3 linked regions of the Neodiprion lecontei genome follow. The protein of the gene in region 1 purifies or fractionates together with the protein of each later gene. This does not show direct contact. Links are inferred from orthologs where the notes say so. Each region holds a gene or a part of one and is shown on either strand. Other genes may lie near its edges. The genes, in order: symplekin, uncharacterized protein LOC107221552 and cleavage and polyadenylation specificity factor 73.

The links.
Region 2: the proteins of symplekin (region 1) and uncharacterized protein LOC107221552 purify together in Homo sapiens (affinity purification with mass spectrometry; 4 studies listed by BioGRID and IntAct, with this or other methods). This does not show direct contact. The link is inferred for Neodiprion lecontei from reciprocal best matches to the Homo sapiens genes SYMPK and WDR33.
Region 3: the proteins of symplekin (region 1) and cleavage and polyadenylation specificity factor 73 fractionate together in Homo sapiens (co-fractionation; 6 studies listed by BioGRID and IntAct, with this or other methods). This does not show direct contact. The link is inferred for Neodiprion lecontei from reciprocal best matches to the Homo sapiens genes SYMPK and CPSF3.

What each region holds. Positions count from the first base shown.
Region 1 is NC_060261.1:29,145,950-29,153,023, reverse strand, and holds the start of symplekin, read right to left. Parts: upstream 3,936-7,074; 5' UTR 3,560-3,935; coding exon 3,503-3,559; intron 3,124-3,502; coding exon 2,927-3,123; intron 2,617-2,926; coding exon 2,383-2,616; intron 2,217-2,382; coding exon 1,930-2,216; intron 1,731-1,929; coding exon 1,501-1,730; intron 1,418-1,500; coding exon 1,232-1,417; intron 1,082-1,231; coding exon 636-1,081; intron 520-635; coding exon 247-519; intron 170-246; coding exon 1-169. UniProt on the Homo sapiens protein: Scaffold protein that functions as a component of a multimolecular complex involved in histone mRNA 3'-end processing. Specific component of the tight junction (TJ) plaque, but might not be an exclusively junctional component. May have a house-keeping rule.
Region 2 is NC_060263.1:39,488,061-39,495,035, reverse strand, and holds the start of uncharacterized protein LOC107221552, read left to right. Parts: upstream 1-2,848; 5' UTR 2,849-3,129; intron 3,130-3,741; 5' UTR 3,742-3,885; coding exon 3,886-4,215; intron 4,216-4,380; coding exon 4,381-4,650; intron 4,651-5,142; coding exon 5,143-5,294; intron 5,295-6,975. Other genes in the region: regulator of microtubule dynamics protein 1, read right to left, coding at 36-227, 385-576, 828-874. UniProt on the Homo sapiens protein: Essential for both cleavage and polyadenylation of pre-mRNA 3' ends.
Region 3 is NC_060260.1:5,310,993-5,317,927, reverse strand, and holds cleavage and polyadenylation specificity factor 73, read right to left. Parts: upstream 4,300-6,935; 5' UTR 3,825-4,299; coding exon 1,764-3,824; 3' UTR 1,698-1,763; downstream 1-1,697. Other genes in the region: DNA polymerase theta, read left to right, coding at 1-152, 372-636, 706-926, 1,031-1,201. UniProt on the Homo sapiens protein: Component of the cleavage and polyadenylation specificity factor (CPSF) complex that plays a key role in pre-mRNA 3'-end formation, recognizing the AAUAAA signal sequence and interacting with poly(A) polymerase and other factors to bring about cleavage and poly(A) addition.

The sequences.
Region 1 (7,074 bases):
TCCTGTATGACACAGTAATACATTCAAAAATACTAGCTGCTTTGTCGGTCTCCGAATAACCATTTCCTTGAGTAATTCCAAAGGTGCGAGTCCTCTCGTTTCATCGGACGAGACCAGTTTTAAAGCTTCCACGGCATCTTCTGTGATTAGAGGAGCTTCCAGATACAACCTAAGGCAAATACAATGAAGAACATTGGTCATAATACTCAATGAAAAAAGTTAATTGCATTGTTCTGCATTAATTACCGCGACAACAACACATCGCGATCTTTCCCTGGTACCAAGTCGATTGCAGAAACTAAAGTGCAGAGTAAAAAGTTGTAGGCTTGATGAGGAGCTTCCTGCGGTTTACTCGTCAGTGTTGTACGCCTTTGGAATCCCTGAAGCAAAGCGTACTCCTCATAGAGCCAGCCGAGGGCCAAATCAAGCCGACACCTCATGTCCTCAGTTATATAGCGGAGCACAGCTTCCCTTATGTATGGGTTGAACGTAGCAGCTAGGGTCGTCAATATCTTGGACCTAACACGCGAAAATACATGAACAATAACTTTAATTGGTTCGCTAATTTTTTCAATACGCATTTTCAAACACTTTTCCCAAAAACCGACTACAATTTCTTATAATTCATTACTCACCTGACTGGTGCCACTCCACCGAGTACAGCGATCCTCTCAGCTCCGAGAATTCTGCCTACAGCCATAAGGAGCATTTTCTCTTTAGTCTCTCTTTGAAGAGGTTTTGTAATTTCGGATAGCTTCAGCGTTTTCAAACGATTTTTCGCCATTTTAAGCGACTTTTCGTGTGCCTCCAATGAAGCCTTAGCTTCTTTCTCTTTCTCCCTGTCCTTTTCTCGTTTTCTTTCACGTTTTGCCTCGGCTACAGTGATTGTTGGATTTTTTATTAGGTCCTCCATTACCGCATCTTCCTCTTTCGTTTCTCTCTTAACCCTTTTGGCCTTAGCTTGCTTTATCTGTACGGCTAGTAGCCTGGCGATAGTTTGACGTTGCACGTTTATATCAGTTGTGGATGTCGGCTGATATTCTCGTTGGAACACTGACGTCATTACATCTGGCACCCAAGCCTGCAAATTGCATAGAATTATTATTTTGCATAAAATAGATTAGTTGTACGAGTTCATACAATGAATCCTATCGAAATTTCTTTAAAATAATTTTCATTTGCAATTTCATTTTTAGACCGCACGAAATTTATTCAACTTATTCTAACATACCATACTATCCATAACTAGTTCTGTGGCAATTTCCACACTTAGACGGTCACTGATAAAATTTTCGGAAAGCTCAATCAATTCAGGAGGCTTCACGGATTCAATTTCCATCGGTTGCTGCTCAGGCTCTTCAACTGCAATTGCAGCCTCCAATTTCGCACGTTTGGCTGCAGATGCTGCCGCTGTTTCCTGCAGATTTGAGAAATATCATTTGATTCTTTGTAAACAGAATATTTTTAAGTAAGATGAGGCTCAGTTCCAATTGCAATTACCTGTTGCCGTTTTTTCATCTTACGAATATCCTCGACTTTTGGATAGGCCTTCATGATTTCTTGCTCTCTTGCCCCGAGCTGGTTCAATTGTCTTGCCATCGTTCCTGCGAACTCTATGCTTGCAGGGTGTTTTAGCAATCCCAATAGCGTGAGCTTAAGTTGCTTCTGGACACTCGTTACTTGTGAATCGGACAGCGTTGGTGGTAGATCATGTTGTAGGAGTTGTAAGGCTGGGTACCAAAAATTATTCATCTATTAAGTATTGTTCTTAACCATTTTTGAGCATCAGAGTTGTTTCAAAGTTTCAATATAGAAATGCCTAAGGTGTGAATAACTTTGCTAAAAATTCTCGAATTTTCAAGCTCTGCTATCACTACAATACTGCAGCCAAACTGAGAGCAGGAAACTACATACTGAAAAAATACCTACCCTGAATTACTTGACGCATAAACTGAGGCCTAGTTTTAGCAATCAATGCCAAGGACCCCATACAAGTCATCAAATTGACGCTACTAACGTGTGGAGAACCATGAAATTTAATCAACAAATCCATAACATGGTTTGCCTCCTCCTCAAGTTTTCTTCTCCGAGCTATTTTTAGTGTTAATGGAATATCTTCTAAGGAGAAGTCATCCGGCTTTTTTGGAGCGTCAGGATCTGGATATGTTTGCAGCAAAACGACTCCTTCCAGGAACTTTACTGCCTGCGTCCTGATTCTGTAACCAAAATAGTCAGGGTAAAATGATGAAAGAAAAAACAGAATACCTAAAAGACATGTGCAGCCTCATGTTTTACAATTTTTATCAGCATATATTCTTTGGCAGCATCTAATGAACATAAGATATGGAAAATAAAATAAGAAAAATTTTTGTTTCTGTTTACCCATCATTGTCACTGTCGATCATATTTATTATCGCAACCTTCAGATTGCTCAGCTGTGTCCAAGCGAGTTCCATGTCTGTTGTAATAATCGCAACACTTGATATCCATTTCAATGTTGCCCTAAGAATTCTTCCCGCTGCTCTAAGCGCCCGTTTGATCACAGCTGATGCATCATCTCCAACTAATCTTGCAAGTGTTTGGACTAATCGAGGAATCAGGTCAGGTTGTTTACACCTACGATGGTCAAAGCACGGTTAAAAAATATTTTTGTAAATTTAATTCTTATATGTTTCAGCCAGTTTAAGGTAACAGCAGCAGAAATTGAAGCTTTAATTGTAAATTCTAGGCTTCCTCATGTAAAGATAACAATCAATGCATAATTAATAAGCAAAGGATAATTGTAATGAACAATCTATTATAAAGTCTGGTATTAGTACTCATTCTTTTCATTGAGACAATCACTGAGTATTCCAATAGAGTTTAAAAACTCGAATAGACTAAAATCCTGACTTATGAATGATAATAAAAGGTGAGTTGCAAATACCCAGCTTCTTCCAAAAATCCTGCGATAAGTTTTCGAACTTCGCTACTCCTATCTAAAGAGAATTGCAACGTTTCGTCCAAGTATAGATCCAGCAACTTTGGTTCCTTGTGTATCAAAAACTCATTAACTTTGGCCAAATTGGTTAATTTTACGGATTCGCTTGTGCTCATAGAAGCATCATTAAGCCATTCTACGACCTGCAAGATTGTAGTAATTACAAATTAGTACATGTATTCCATTTTTTTTTTTTTTCGACTTTCTTTTACATGCTTTTTTCGCATTGTCATTACAGGAACCTTTTGAATAAATTTTAGAATCATTCATGTATAGACTATTTAAGCTGCGCTCGGTATTTATATCCGATTCCGCGATTACCTCGAAACGCGTTGCAAGAGTAGCGTCGCGTTTAGAGGTAATGGAAGAATCAGATGTAAGTAACTAAATGCATTATTAGTGGAACTGATAAATAAGCGAGTGATAATACTTCGAAGTACTAAAATATTTGTGTTCTTTTCTAGGTTCTTTTTTTTTGTTTGTTTACTTGTATCGTGTCAAAATTTAGGTTATGTCACTGACCAAGTCGCTCGAGCCCTTTTTTTCAGACTCTTGTCTTCTGTGTAAGCGTGGGTCCATTGTATTTGCGAATTGACAAGTTTATGGGACGCGATGACTTGCTGATTGAATGCGAAAAATTGGCGACGATAATAAAATGTAATATATGCGGGTGTATCCTACATATGTTTGATTATGTTTCGTTTATGTACAATTCGCTGAGTCTCCGATACGTCAAAAACTTGTAATAGTTGGGTACATGATTTTTGAATCCTAGAATAAATATGATTTTGTACGTTAATGAGTAAGAATAAATATTCCCATTTGATTCGGTAATTTTGTCTGCAAAGTGATCTTAATGCAAATATAATGTAACGCGATTTTTTAATATGCTATTTAGCAATTTATGGTGCTATTGAGTTCCGTCTAACAGTCCGTCTACGCCATATTGGCCAATTACAATATTGGCAATCTTTTCACGCCATGAACAATGAAACGTGATTGAAGATATACAAGTCCTACCTTGGAATCGCAACTCAATCCGGCAAGCGGTCGGTACATAAGGACGACAGGAACTGATGTTACCATCGTGCACCGCGTGTGCCCAGATAATGCAGAGTCGAATATTATTATGCCTTTGAAACGACGAACGGGAACAGACTGTAATTTTCATAAAACCTCATATGGACGTCGTTTACTTTTCAACTACGCAAATTCATTTGGACCCAATTCAGCAATGTCAATCTAACTCCATCGGTTCGATAAAAATAATGTTATCTAAATAGACGCACAATAAACATGCACCCGGTTTACTGTTAACAGAGTTAGAAACCTTTTCTTGATGCAAAGGATGGGAGACATAGTCGAAGACCCGAAGAAGTGAATCAACGGATCAAGATATACAGTTGTTCCTACATCTACCTTATGTAATTTGTGTACATATGTTTAATACTAGACTTGTAGCGTTAACTGAGGATAATAATATCTATCTTCAGGCACCGCTCATATCTTCATTCCGAAAGAATGATGCAGCTGACATGTAAAAATAATTCCTTAACTGACGTTACATTTCGTGGTTTTTAAAAAATACAGTTTATTTGCAGCGGAAATCCTAGACCTTTCTATGCAAAAGTACTACTTGAAAATATTTTTCAGAATTTAAGTAAGACTAGATTGTTACTAATGTATGAGTCCATGCTTTAACAACCCCGATGAAAGTCAGAAAATCATTATCACAAAAGTATTAAATAAAATATATAAAGATGATCAAGGTTCCTTTCTTCAACTTCTACTCATATTAGCTGGTTGTATTGTCATTCCGTCCGCTGACCCACAAACTAGATTGTTCAGAAATTTATTATCAAGTGGCCCAGATTATAATTACGTATATCTGTCCACTTTATTATATATTTATGGCAGTGCCCGTGTTGATTATTAGGATTTTCGAGTTTGAGAATATTTATTTCCGAAAAAGTCGATACTATTTCATCCGGAATTTCGACACTTTTCCGTAGTGTCGACTGCGAAAGGTCAAGCAAGGGAGAAAGATGTTGAAATTTCCAAACTCTTAATTGTCAAAGGTATGTGCACCTTGTTGACTTGTATTAAGAAATTAAATTCATCAAAAAGTAAAATGTATTCACATGGAATTTACTCTGAGTAAACTAGAGAAATCCTAAAGTATTACGATTCCACATGAGTTACACACTATCGAAGCATGAGTTTTATTGACAATGAGTTAAATTTACGTTAGAATAAAATTGTCATTTGAAAAGCTACAATTTATTAGTATTTGACCTTTGAAAATAAGTTCACTTATGCTCGTTTCCTCACCACCGCAAGCGGTAAAGCACCCGGAGCGTTTTTTTTACGTAGTTTCCTCAGTAGGCCTACTCCACGGAGAATAGTAGCACAACAACCAAAATACTAGAGCTGTATAACTCTACAGTGAAATACAAACCAAACATGACCTATGAGCGAGTTGAGAAAAAAAACTGTCACTAAAATGATCGCAATAAAAGACTGTAAAACCATTAAATAAAATACGGCTGAATAAATTTTACTATACGTTGTGATCATTATGATTCTGAACTACATCGTTGAAAATCTATGTATCGGTGAAACCAAGATGACTGACTCTGAACCAGACCTAAGCCAGACGTAAGCCTAAAAAGTGTAATGTTGAAACTCAGTTACCTGGAACAGATGCAAATATAATTACTAACATATATCGATATGGTCAAAATTATACTTAGCTTAGATAAGTAAAAAATATAATTAACGTTAAAATATACAATTTAATTAGTTGAAACAGACTGCAGATTTGATTAGCTGAAACAGGCAAGAGGTTAGATTAGCTGAAACAGACAAAAAGTTTGATTAGCTGAAAGAGACAGAAGGTTGATCAGCTGAAACAGACAAAAGGTTTGATTAGCTGGAACACACAAAAAGTTTGGTTAGCTGATACAGACAGAGGTTTTAATAACAGAAACAGACAAAGGTGTAGTTAGCATGATCACATAAGTGCATACATTGTCAGAAAATGGGTCGAGTCCAACATGATATTCATTTTAATATTCGTTGCTTCGATTATTAATTGTATTTATAATAAAAAACATTCTAAATTTTTTGAACCTACATCTATTTCTGCTTTGAGTTATTAAAGTGAACATCATTTTCGACCAAAGATTCTGTACTTCTCAGTGCATTTGTTGAAAAATTGGCGGATTCCAAATGCCGTGTTTTCTCTTATAACTGAAGGGTATCAAGTCCACGCGCAAAAGGCGCCATAGAACGTGAAAACTTTGATATTCGTTAGAAAATTGAACGAAGAGCTGAAAAGTCAGCACATCGAAAGTGCGTAACTCTTTTGTATATTGTTTGCAGAATCGACGCACAAAAAAAGTGTCTGATTCCCGTTATTAATTTACGCGCTCAAAGCTGCGTCCAATTCTCGTGATTAACCTACGCGCAAAAAGGCGCGACAGATTAAACTGTCAAAAAGTTTGTTTATCTGGGACTTGTCCCAAAGATTCTGTAGAAACCCAATCCACATCTGCATCTTTCTGAATTAGATACATTGCTATGCGGATTGTTCTTCTCAGATTGCAAATCGAATTGAAATGAGGAGGGAGGTTGGAGAGCATGCATTATTGTGTGGCGTGACGGTCGGCGGTCCTCTTCGACGCGAAGTCTTCGAGCTCAGCATCTCTCCCCATCTAGCGTACCACGGAACGCGATAGATGGTCCAGAGATGCGTTTTGCCCATTCAGACGATCACAGAGATCAATTCAATGGAATGATGATCGCTAATGACTGAATAATTAAATTGAATAACGATTGAAAAATGGTTGCAGAGTGACAAGAAACGGGAAATTCAATCTCTTTGATACTCAAATGCTTACAAATGGTCGAGAGGCTTGAATACGGAATCGTTTGGGAAATAAATTTCTGTGATCGTTTGACGCTGTGGATTACAAAAGTTAGTAACATCACGGCACATCGCGACCTTCCTACCCTCGCCTGTTTCCCAACGGAAATGAGAGACTCACACACACATGCATAAACCCCGCGACGGATCCCAAAACGTCCACCTA
Region 2 (6,975 bases), on another chromosome or scaffold:
TTACGATCCATTATTTGGTTGTTAAATTTACAGACCTTTCATTGTCTCCATCGCCTGACTCCATGTCGGAGAAATCAAAGAATTCATCATCGTCAAACTCTGTGTCAGCTGTTGAAAAGGCGTCTACGTCAGTGTCATTATCTGTTGCAGAATAAGTGCTGCTATTTTTAAGATTCGGCTTTCGTCGCGATATTCTTTCTCGATTCCTGCGTTGATTTTGCTGTAATCTAATTAGGCAAGTATGAAATACAAGTGGTAATGACAATAACCTTTCAATCTGTACTTTTTTAATTTTATTGTTAGTTACGTTAAATTAGTTATACGTATTTCAGAGGGCTAGATATAACGTGATTATCGAAATATCTACAACTAAAAGGAGCCTACCTCAAAAGATCCAACTGTGCTTGTAGTTCGGCCATAGTTTCACCCATTTTATCCAAATCTCGTCTGACTCTTTCGGTCTGTTGTTGTTCTCTTATTTTCTGGTACACGAACAGACCCACAGCCCCAATAACGCCAAACGCTGCAGCAACTGCAGTCGCAATCAGTCGCGGAGAGTTTATATCACTCATGGTGCTAAATTGTGGATAAAACATAAAATGTATGATTAATTAAAGAAGTTATGAAATAATCAAAGCAGATATATACAAGGGCATAATTGTACAAAATTATGATATTGCAATTTTTCTATCTGTATGTTTAAACCGCATCACGTGCTTTGAAGTATTCAATGTGATTTTGGGTGGGAAATATTTGTTGGTGTTTCTGTCTATTGTTATACTGTACATTATCACAAAATATAGTTCTAAATTGTGTTTCAATATTACTGGGGAGCTTTTCTCATTCTGACGGACTCTTGGTTCATGGAATACATAAAGAGAACTCACGGCAGTTCACATAACAGATTTGGAAGAAATTTAGACTTTGAACTTCGAACGTGTGTCAAGTGTTTTTTCTTCACACTACGTACAGTTCTTACAGGTACATTAATGCAAAGCGGAAATGTATTCAACCAATCATACGTAAGATTTGAGAGGAAATTTCCACCTTTTCAATATACAGCTCATTGGTTATTTGTATTTCACAATAATTTGTGTAGCTAAGTAATGTGCATTCATAGCAAAGAATCTAATGTTTTCAGTGAACGAGCGGTCTTTTTGAATGTACAGTGATGAAAGATTTACCAATATTTGCTTATCAAATTTGTCAGACAGCAGACTAAAAGAGCGAACACTGTCAAACACTACATTACCTGTACCTACTCTGTGTTTCAAATGGATACTGTAACGTAGTGTCCTCAGTTTAAAGTTCCCTGTGCAACATTGAATGAACTTAATGCAGTGCACAAAATTTTGGCATGTCATTAGTATGGTATTTGACTTATGAGTGTTTCGTCATTAAGTAGAAATTGCGAAATAACGGTATAAACATTGTTTCGACACACGTTTATACGTCCTTGCAATTTCAGCACTGAAATACCTCAATCATTTCGTAGTAAGCTATCCTAATTAACAGGCAACATCGGTGTTTGTAACCCTGTTAAAATGGGAAATAATTTGCCAGGGTTGGAAAAAATAATTTGTTTGTTCGTCGTCTTGTATAGTATAAATTATGAAGAGTGACATGGCAAGTAACATTGAGCTGTAGAACTGGGTCAGATCAATTATAGCGTACGTTACATACGCATGTTTCATTTCGCGAGTATAGGCAAAAATGCTAGTGATAATGCATGTGCTAATTTCACGAAAGGGGAGTATGAATTATTTCTTCAGCAAAGTCGTATCAATCAATGGCAATACAGGCAGGTTTGGGCATGAATAATGGATAAATTAAACGGGTATAAAATAAGTAAACAACTATACTCGTCAACGTACGATTCTCGTTAGTTTTCATCCGACTTTTGGAACTGGTGAATTAACTGTATAATAAAGATAACTGTAGACAGGCCAAAAATTTTGTCATGTTTCTTCTAAATAATAATCAAAATTATCCAGCAGCACACTGCAGCACGCGACTCTTTCACATTACACCTTTACATGGTACATACAACTAGTCGCGTTTTCAGCGAGTCTTAAGAATCGCGTATATACTGTTGTGAATCCCCTCGCACCACACATCAAACTGACATTTTTCTTTCTTATTTTAAAACCAAGGACAATCTATCCAACGCTCAATTTTTGTAAAACACAAAAAGCCCTTTTCGACATGCAGTTGAACGTTTCTGCTTTGCGAAAGAAGCGTGCCGCAACTGTTTTTCACTTCCGCCGGCGGCCCATAGAGGCGTAAAAGTCGCTGGAAAAACAAAAAAGCATCATTCTTGGCGCGTCATATGAATCGAATGACTGATGCATATGATTTACAAAAAAAAATTTGGTTATACTTTCAAACTCATTTACACATTAGCAAGCGATTTCTGGACAGTTGATCGGCTCATAGTTTTCGTGACTACATTTTACTTACTTATGAAATTCGGAAATCGGATTTTGGGCGTCCAACGATCCGTCGATTGCGAACAACGGGACCGGTGGAACAAAACTCGAATCTCGGCCATTTCCGTTAATCCGAGCGTTAATCAAGAATTACGTTGCCGAAAGATATATTGTATATCGTATAGCTTTAGTTTTTAGCCAACGAAAATTATAATGCTAACTGTCCGAACGCCTGTTGGATATCGACGCTGAAAGTATATGAGGATCTGTATTAATTGTTCCAATCATCATCGTAACACGTATACATTGCGGCTACAGTGCGCAGCTCTGACATGACAGAGGTCGCAGTAATCAACATTATTAGGTATCCGAGCGGAACGCCGGATTTTCGAACCGGAAGTGGCAGGCAGTGTCCAGCAGTGTCTTCGTCAGTCTTCATATACCTATCATGGAGTCGTTAGCGTCCGTGCACAATATTCCCTCAAGCTGTCGGTCGTAGTCTGTATTATACGCGTTGAGATTTCAAAAAAGTTGATGACGCTTGTCCAGGGAGTGTTCGCTTGGCGCTATATTTGCAGTATTATTGTAAATAAAGTGTTTGGTAATTTGTGGCCTTAGAACGTTGAAGTGTTTTGTGTACGTCGAAGTGGTGACCTGGGAGTAGGCCTCGACAAATATAATCGTGACGATACTGCAGCAGGTTGGTCTCACTATTTTACCGTATTATGTATATCAATGACCCGACATAAACTTCGATTAAATTCACTACAGTAATCGTCTCTGCCACGAGTTTACTTCACCATTACCGACTAACCTTCAAACATGGTTATTCGATGCCACACATCCCCACTACAATTTTTGCGTCATCATATCCCTAGTGCTTCGAAAGTTGGCACATACACTTTCATCAAAATTTTCGTTGTGGGACGAAACGTTTGTTTCGCTCGCCTCTTCAATTTACTCATTCTTTCACATATCCAACACTTGTCCAATGTATTTTTTCCTTTCTAGTTTTCTCTTACCATAAATACAAGTGTTAGGCACCTGTGCTGGCACTGTTTGCAACACGGGTTTCTACAATTACTGAACACATGTTATTTCGTTATTTCACTCTGTTATTTGAAGTTGAAAATAAATGAAAAAGGAAATGTTTTGCTCCTGTGAAAGTATGTCTTGCATCTTATTTTATTGCTTTGTCAGCACTCTTCTACAATCCATTATCAACTACGAATTTTTATCATCAATTACGGATATTCACAACGATGCAGAACCTACAATTTTTGTAACTATGACTTTTTTAATTTTATTTCAGATATTATCGCAAGGATGGCGTTACTACTGTTAAATGTATTTCGTGACTTTGTTCTATAATATGTCTCGGGATCTGAGTCTAAGAAGAAGAGACCTTGGTTTTAGATAAACTTATTTAAATTATTTCATTTTCCAAACCATCAATATGTCTGTCAATGCTCAATTCGCCAATCCACCCCCGGTGATAAGTTTACCAAACATGTCGGTTCCACCACCCATTGCAACGCCGAATTTATCTGCACCTCCTCCTAATTTAACAACTATAAATACTACGACTGGAGGTTATCAGCACAGATTTGGTACTCACAGAGATGGAAATCGTGGTTTTTTCAAACCATTTCGACCTTATCATGCCCCGAAAGTTATAGCTGGTGGTCAAGATGCGTTACAAGATGAATTCGATGGAAAGAGACTCAGGAAATCTGTGATGCGAAAGACGGTCGACTATAATGCTGCTATTATTAAAACCTTGGAGGTAATAAATTACTCGTATAAACAAATTACTTTGGTTCCTGTTTGTAATTTCATATTTTTTTTATCTCGTCAGAATGTTCAGCTGCTCCTTTGAAGCTTCTAATACCTCTAGCATCTTTCTTCTTCGTGTAGGTGTAGATTAAATTTCCATCTTTTTGTTACTCAGAATCGGGTTTGGCAGCGAGACTACAGAGACAGAAGAGCTCTTCAGCCTGACGTTATATATTATCCTGACCTTCTGCCACCACCAAGCTACGTTGATAATCCAATCAACGCAGTGACAACAAAATTTGTCAAAACAGCAACGAATAAAATGAGGTGTCCAATATTTTGCATGGCTTGGACCCCCGAAGGAAGAAGGCTTGTCACTGGTGCATCGAGTGGCGAATTCACATTATGGAATGGGCTTACTTTTAACTTTGAGACTATTCTACAGGTGGGGATATATCAAGAAAATTTACCACTTTTTTGATAGTCTATTAGTACATGGACCTAATATTCTTGCTCTATGAATCTGTTACAGCCTCTATTCTCGTAAATCGCTATTTTTTTTATCTGTAAAAGATTATGAGATTCGTTAATTCAATGTCCATGTGTATCTGAGTTACAAATATAGTTCTCAGAGGTCATTTTCGTTTATGAAAAAATCTTGGCTTGGTTTTTCATTCTCCTTGTCATGTCAACAAATATCACGATTCTCAGAAAATTGAATTTAAAATGTCAAATAAACAAACTGTCAGTAAGCAAAGATAAGCAACACATCTCTAACTTGGTGTGGCTAATTGAAAATTTGCAAAATATGGTTTAATATTAGCATCTCCTCTTGAGTGTCGAATTAGTCAAAAATGAACCTAATGTGATGGAATAACCTTGTAAAATGTCCCGACAGGGCAGTTAAAAAATAATCATTCATTCTTCCATTTCTTAGGCTCATGACAGCCCTGTACGTACAATGGTTTGGTCCCACAACGAAAGCTGGATGGTGACGGGCGACCACGCAGGCTACGTTAAGTACTGGCAGAGCAACATGAACAACGTCAAGATGTTTCAGGCGCACAAAGAGGCTATTAGAGGACTCAGGTATAGCATCTACCACTCTAGTCCTTACATCTATCGTGACACTGTCCTTCACGGCCGATTAACTTATGTAGCAATCAGGACACAGGACGTGGGTTTCATTTTGATGTATTTTCCATTTAGTAAAACGTTTGAGATCAAGTTACACCTTCTCATTTGGGTACATAGGTGAAGTGTTTTTCTTGTTTCTTTAGTGTGGTCTGTTCTTATCAATGATCTGAGCATTCAGCATTTTTTTTTTAATGCTGTCTCCGTTTGTTTGTACCTTAGATCCAGTGTATCGGCAATCAGGGTGTTAACTAGATCAAATATAGTACTTTGGTTTGTGTATGTGCGTCGAGATTGCTATATCTTATGATTACAAACAACCGTTTTTGAATTTTTTTTTTTTACACCTACGAAGCTGAACTGAGGTGACAGTAGCATATTAAAATCTGGCCAGTATGAAACTCAAAACGTCATTCGAATCTTCCAAGTATTACGAATAATAAACAATCGTATCAATCATGACTTTGTGAGGAACGAGACATTTATCAGGGTCAGGGATTGATTTACAAAAAAAATTCTTTGAATCTGTTCGTATAATTAATTTTGCGTTACATACTAGTAGGTAGTGCTTTGAAAAGATTATTGGGCAGTACGCGAAACACAGGTGAAATCGCAGCATGTATTGAATAGATAGGTTCAATGGATCCTCGATTTTACAGTATAGTTACCTGTTCTGAGAGCCATCGGGATCTTATCTTTGCATGCAATGGACCATATTCAACCATTTTTATCTCAGGCTCAGAAGTTTTGCATATACTGAACAGTTACCGATGTTTTACATTAATTACACACTATAATTTTGTGGTCAAATTTCCACTCAAGAGTTCAAATAGGTTTACGCAAACGAGCTTCCTTTATCTTGCAAACGTATTTCTTTATTCCCAGTCTATCCCTGTAATTATGTTCATTTACTTCAAAGTCTTGTAATATTTCAATGCCGGTGTGTAATTGCGGGAAGAAATTTAAGTAGAAGCGCAATTGGGACCTTATGGCTGTCAGGAATAAAGTTTGTATACAGGATAGGATATTGGGCAAAGATGTATCGTAGAATAAAGAGAAGATGGTAATATTGATAATAATAAAACTAAAGAAAAAATACAGCAGCACCCAGTCGAGATTCCCATCGAATATATAATAAAGAAAAATATCCTAGCTCCCTTCACATCATCCAAAAATATCAATATAAATGAATAAATACTTCACTATATTATCACATATATATTTGCATTAATAAAGAATGATCATTATATATCTTCCTTTGTTTTGTGTTGCTCTTGTCCTTCAGAAAACTGATTATCTTAAATAAAGACAAATTTGGAAAAAAAAATTTATTAATAAAATAATGAAGGAACATTCTGTACACATTAATCGTTTTTTTTTATGAAATAAACGTTAAATTTGAGAAAAAATAAACCTAATTTTCGTACATTCTCCGGTGGTCATGTGGCATCGAAAACACATTGTGTACGTGTGCAAATTGAGCTCAGTTATTGCTCATAAACTGCAGAGTGTATTTTGAGTGCCAGATATGACTGTCGGAGATGGCTTTTTGTTTATTTACAATATTTACATCTAGTTGATCCTTTTATTAGAAAATATACCATGTCCATATTTTGGACTCTGCTGATACATTAAC
Region 3 (6,935 bases), on another chromosome or scaffold:
GAAATATCATGTTATCAGCAGATTATTGTCAACTTGAGCTAAGAATATTGGCACATCTTTCAAAAGATCCCGTCTTGTGTGAAATAATGAAAAAGGATTCTGACATTTTCAAGAACATTGCTGCGCAGTGGAACTATATAACCATAAATGAGGTACGAATTCTTTGACGCAGTCCCCTATGCCAATAATTGATAGATCTTCTCTATATTATTCAATCGGCAAACAAATTTCTGTTTTGAAATGACTTTTGATTTGTAGCCGTCTGAGGTAAGAAAGAACATCCTGATTTCAACAATAACTACATGAAGCACGGGTTTTGTAATATCACATTTGATTTTTTATAGTAATCAATGTATGCTTTGTTTGTTCAGGTAAATGATGATATGCGTCAACGCACAAAACAGCTTTGTTATGGAATAATTTATGGCATGGGTTCGAGGGCTTTGGCAAAGCAATTATCAGTTACTGAATTAGAAGCAAGCAGGTTCATGGAAAGTTTTATGGGAACTTATCCAAACGTGAATAATTGGCTTAATCAGGTGATAACCGAAAGCCGAGAAAATGGATATGTAACGACTCTAATGGAAAGGCGCAGATTACTTCCGAGTCTAAATAGTGAGATAAAAAGTGAAAGATGTGAGTAGCGACAAATTTTCTCTGCTGCGAGTTTTTTTCCAATTTACTGCGAACGTTTATTTACTATAGCTCAAGCAGAGAGACAAGCAGTGAATACAAAAATTCAAGGTTCAGCAGCGGACTTGGCTAAAAAAGCTATGGTTCTAATAGATGAAAGACTGCAGAAAGAGTATTCAGATACATCTAGAGTCATTTCAGAAATGAAAACTAGAAAACTAAGGAGCAGCAAAGATTCGCAGAATAGAGGGGCCTACTTAGTTCTGCAACTACACGACGAACTCCTATACGAGGTCAGTTATACTAGTCATTTTTTCCGTTACAATTCTCTGCATGAGGATGAATTGTTGCACAAGAATAAAATCAAAATGGGTAAATAATCATGATACTCTTACAGGTGAATGCCGCAGATCTTGATCGTGTTGCAGCAATAGTTAAAATTTCAATGGAAGAAGCATATCAGCTAACAATTCCATTGCCTGTTAAAATCAGAGTTGGTCCGACGTGGGGCAGTCTAACAGAATACACTGTTCAGAAGCCCATAGAATCATCTGAATGTATTTTTTAATTGTTGAAAGACGTTATTTATTTTAATTTATATATTTTTCGCTTTTGCGAATTTTTATATGTTAAGAATTTAATTACGAATATTTTATAAATGATCACAACTTTTATAAGATCCACTAATTGTAAATATTATTTATGTCAAGTTCTCAAACTTCTGAAATAGGTTATTTAAGTGTAATAGATCTCATAAATTGTGTAGAATTAAAACATTGAATAATAGTGGTAAGTTTACATGCAAAATTCGTGTCATTGCGATATAGATGGATCAATTTTTGTACACAGAAAAAATCATGATAAAAATTGAATTGTTCATTTTTATACAACTATTGTTAATAACAATTATATTTAATGCAGCATTTACTAATCTTCATATTGCTGCTATCACCGAATCAACTTGTATTGCTGAATTTGTAGAAAAATATACACAATTAAAATTATTAGCTATGTATCATAATTTAAATCTATTGGTTTAGGAAAAGAGAAGTACAAATTGCATGTTGAAAATATCGATCCGATATGGAATATTTAATGAATTAGATTTACAAGGTTGTAAATGTAAAAATTTATAAAGTATCGCATGGCGGAGCCAATGACTGATGTAACTTGGAAACGGCAGTCTGGACTATTTGTTGAAAGGTTTCATCCTCCGTGCTTGTTACTTCTAAATTTAACAAATCTATGTGAGCCTTTTTACCATCAACTGTAACATATAGTTTTTCGCCTTTGAAAATTTTGGGTACCGAATCTTCACCAAACATTTCTTGAAGCATTTCTATCAGACATTCCTTGAAATGCATTCGGTCCATTTTCGTTGGTGCAGGGAGTGTTTTCGGCGGTTGTTCCATCATTTCAGCTTGCAATATTGCAGTCAAAACTGAATCTGCATACATGTCGTTTACAGGAGTCGCTATCCATTCCATTGTGACAACTTTTCCTTCTACAATAACATCAACATTTTTGAATACTCTCATCTTTTTATCATCGATATTTTCTATGCTTCCAGCAATTTGCGTTAGCAAATGTTTCAATACCGGTAACGATGTAGAAAAATGTACGCTTTGTCTTTGAACCACCTGGCTCATGCTCATATCGGTATACTTCGATAAATCGCAAGGCGCCAGTACGTGGTAATTGAAGTTTCTTTTCACCAGAACACCTGATAACTTCTGTCCAGGTTTTGGAGTTTCCATAGCTAAAGTTCCCATAACTTTTGCTGTTTTTTCACCACGAAAATACAGCTCTACTGCCACTGTATTCCTAGGATTGTGTATCTCCATTATGGTGTGTGGATCGTCCTCGTATTCCCTTTGTAGAGCAGCTTTTAATCTGCCCATTTCATTTTGTTCCCCATGAACCAATACAACATGTGGTGGTTTCAAAATCCTAATAAACTCTGACGTCTGTTGATAGTCGGTATGGGCTGAGAATGATATATAATCCACTGACATTTTCAAAGGCAATTTTTGACCAGACATGGTTGTAATTTCTTCGGGTTCGGAGAGGATTGTTTTGGCCAGAGTCCCCTCTACGCAGTAACCGGCGATTATTACTCCATTCTTCGAATCAGTGCACCAAGACTCAAATAATTCTCTGGACAAGCCACTCTGCATCATACCAGGAGATGCCATAACGACACAAGGTCCTATGTCTTCGAAATGATCGATCCCTTTCAAGTTTGATATGTGCTTGAATACAAAAGGGTTGTTAATTGCTATCTGTCTCCGTATTTTATCGTTCATCGCGTTAACGTAAGTTTGATAAACTGCCATACATTTTTTGGCCAAAGACGAAGCATAATAAATGGGAATTTCATGCAACTCGGGGTGTTGGCTCCAGTATTCATCCAGGATTAGCAGTAGCTCTTGTGCTCGTCCCAGGGCAAATACAGGAATCAAGCATCTTCCGCCTCTGTTCACAATTTCGTGTACCAAATTAGTAAATCTTCCTTCTCGATCTTCCCGCTTCTCATGAATGTGAGTTCCGTAGGTGGATTCAGTTATCAAAACGTCAGGATGAATGTTTGGTATTTCGGCAGCCATCAAATGCCTGTCTTCTTGCCGACTAAAATCACCTGTGTACAGTATTTTAACACCAGCAATTTCGATCATGAACATAGCAGCGCCAAGAACGTGGCCAGCATTATATGCCCAAAATTTAATACCGAAGACATCTTTTTCCTCGTGGAAATTTATCGTCTCTATTTTATCCATACTAGTTTCTAGGTCAGACTCGGTATACAACATCTGCTCCGTGGCAATGTTACTGACTTTTATGTAATCGGACAACAACCAGCGATATATAGCTTTTGTCGCGTGAGTCATGAAACAACGTCCCTTAAAACTAGTTTTTTGCAAAAACCAAGGTAAGGCTCCACAGTGATCGAGGTGAAAATGAGATATCAGAAGCAGGTCGATTTCATCGGCTTCTACCAAGTCAACGAATGGAAGAGCATCCATGCCGGAGAGACCTGGATGTATTCCACAGTCCAGCATTATCTTTTTTCCTTTGAATTCCAGCATAATGCAAGATCTTCCAACTTCTTGTCCGGCACCAAGCGGCCGAATCGAAAGTAAATCGCTTTCTTCTGCCGGCACTTGGGTGTCCGGCTTCCGTTTAGATGACATTTTTTAGGTTGTGTTATCCCGAGACACGTACGAATATACACTTGTTAATCAATAACAGACTTCACGTGTAGAAACAACTCTCAACCTAGTATAACTCCTTCGATATCATTATTCATTGAAATATCGTGCTATATCGATTTGTATCGTTGAAGTTTAAAGGTATGGACATGTCCAAGTCCAACTAGCAGTCCGGTGTATCGCGAAATTAAAACAGTTTGCAAACTAGGTACCGGCAACGCAAGAAATCTGCGTAATTCACGTTTTGCACGAAACAATTGAATGAATGCGTTCAAATTGGTTCATCGCAGTGACACACGCGTAGGCATACACAAGGCACAATAACATAAACACAAAGCTTCATTCATAGACTTATATACCTATAAGGTAGACTGAACACCCCGGCCATTTCCCTCGACCCCTGGAACGCCTAACGTTGTTGATGCTGTCTCTTTCTTTCTTATGGGGTTTTCTGAGCCAAGCGCTTAGAGGGGAAGAGAAAGGCAAGTGAGGGGCAGTTGCAGGTATGCCATCCTACATATCCCCACCCCGAGATCGCTAGAAAGAGATGGCAGTATCAACTGCGGATGTAAGACAAGGATAGCACCAAAAACGGGGGAATCGAGGTTCAGGGGACACTCGCTCCGACCTAATGCTCAGTCTGTTTTATATATAAGTCTATGGTTTCATTAATTAAGCTATTTCCATTTTGATTACTATCGACAATGAAGTAGAGTATCGGGTGACGATATATCTCTATGGATGATATATATACTTATATATACATGTCTGTACTTGGTTGCGTATCAGCAGGCGCACAATTTTTCACAGCCATTCGAAATTTGATTTCTTCTAAATGGACGATATAAACGCGGTGTTAAGGCAACGCAAAATCATCGCAACAATATTTGTGCATGCATGGTCTGTCATTTAGAGTCGTAAGCCAGAAAATTGTAAATAATAAATTGTGTGCTAGACTTACTTTGGCTGACCCATAGAGTACATCCATTCGGTTACCGCCTGTGCGATGCTAAAAGTTCACTTCCATATACTCCGATCGCTTGAACCACAAACACTTACATTATCGTCGATCTCCGTACATAATTATTAAAATGATGACCGAAAATCAGTTTACTTCCCGTAGCCGAAAGATAATTCGAATAACTGACAATAGCAATTTTATAAACGTCTAAAAACTGACGCATGAAAAATAACAGTAAAATTTCTCACCTTAACAATAAGTGGAAATCTTTCATATGAGTTTCACTTAGGCGAATCAGCCGGATACAAAAGCAACAAAACATTGGAATAAGTAACTCGTGATATTCATGAATGCGTCCGGGTAAACATAGGTTCGTATCATTTCAAATCGAACTTTGATCGCTGATCGCAGTTAGATGATTACGGATATACTACGTAATTAATAAGTTAATGTTACAGTTAACATAAAATCCGATACATAAATATCGAAGTATAATAATAGAAAAGGTACAAAGATGTCGACGGAGACTTTACAGAGCAAATAACGTGTCGTTTTTTTTTCCAAGAAGCTGCATAAAACAAACTGCGATCGGCAAATGTTTAGCACTTGAAAAATTATATTTCGTCGTACTGATTCATTACTGGTCAACTACGCACCTTTACATCACACTTTTATTTATTGAGAAATAATTTACTTTCGCTTAACACGAGCAAGTTGTTAGATAAATAGAACATTTACAAATGAATTATGGCACTGAGCACAGTATAATTATATACAAAACAATCGCGCCGAATATATACGATAACTGCATCGCGATGCGAACCGACGCGAACTACAGAGCGGATGTTCTGACGCGCCCGACTTCTCGACGCACATTCCCTTCTGTCTTCTGTCGGTAATCGAGGGGCCAGCAATTGTTCCACAATTTTCACAAGATGGCCGCCTGTGATCTGAGCGCTATAGTGGCGAGGCTGGAAAATATGTTCAAATTTGAATCTGACAGTGCATTTAAATGCAAAAATATCTGTTCCGAGATGAAACAGATATAAGAATAACATGTATTATACTTAATTAAATCGTTTATAAAATGTAAAATATATATACTTGTACTATTTTTACCGTCATTCGGGATAATTTGCAGAATGTTTCAATTTAGTAAATAGTTTGATGTTCATCCTTGATATTTTCAGGATATGAAAACATGGTGATCAAACACTATATATGAATAGATCAACGTTAGAAGAAACTTATTTACAAAGAAACGTACCTCAATACATAACTTTTATTAAGGTGTACACATGTTGATTTATTAATTGTTTAATGATAATAATTATCCTATCTGTATCTTCGTATAGCATGAATCAAGTTTCATACAATATTCAATTGCCGGGTGATTGATTGGCCCTATTATAAAATATAATTGATGTACATATTTACATTATATACAGTACTGCGTCTAATCTAACGCGCATGCTGCTTAGCTACACAATTGCACATTTGGATGACTACGATGTTGGCTCTAGGTGGGTTGTGTAAAAACTCTGGCCATGGTGCCATGATGTATAAGTTACACAATAAAGATCAAATATACATACACGCTTGTCTTATTTATTGTTAAAATACGGGGATTGCAGATATACAGACCCCTTCAAAAATAAGCTTGATTAAAATCCAGGACATCATTTACAAACCAAGGTATAACCGAGATGCAACCAATTATATTTATCAAAATATTCTCTCTCTTCTATTTTGAACAGATATATTTATTGACGTGTTTACTAAAAATCTCGACCAATTGTCATAGTAATTGAGAAGAATTATTGCAAGTGCTTGATTGAAGCTCTGTAATGACATGGGGCTTATTTTATGTAATTTAATTACACCAATCACGCTAAGAAGACTCATCTTCAAAAGTACAGTCAACATATAACCCAGGCAGTACGGAAATTACCTCCATATTACTCCTGTGAATTTTTCAACCATTTGTAGTAGATTGCTTGTTAGCGTTAGTGCAAACGCCAATCATTCTAGGTCAGATGCACCTTGAGAAATTAATTCTTATCTTTAATAGAGATCAAAATGACGCACTTAAACCATTTCTCGTTATTCATTCTTTAAAATATAAAACTTAA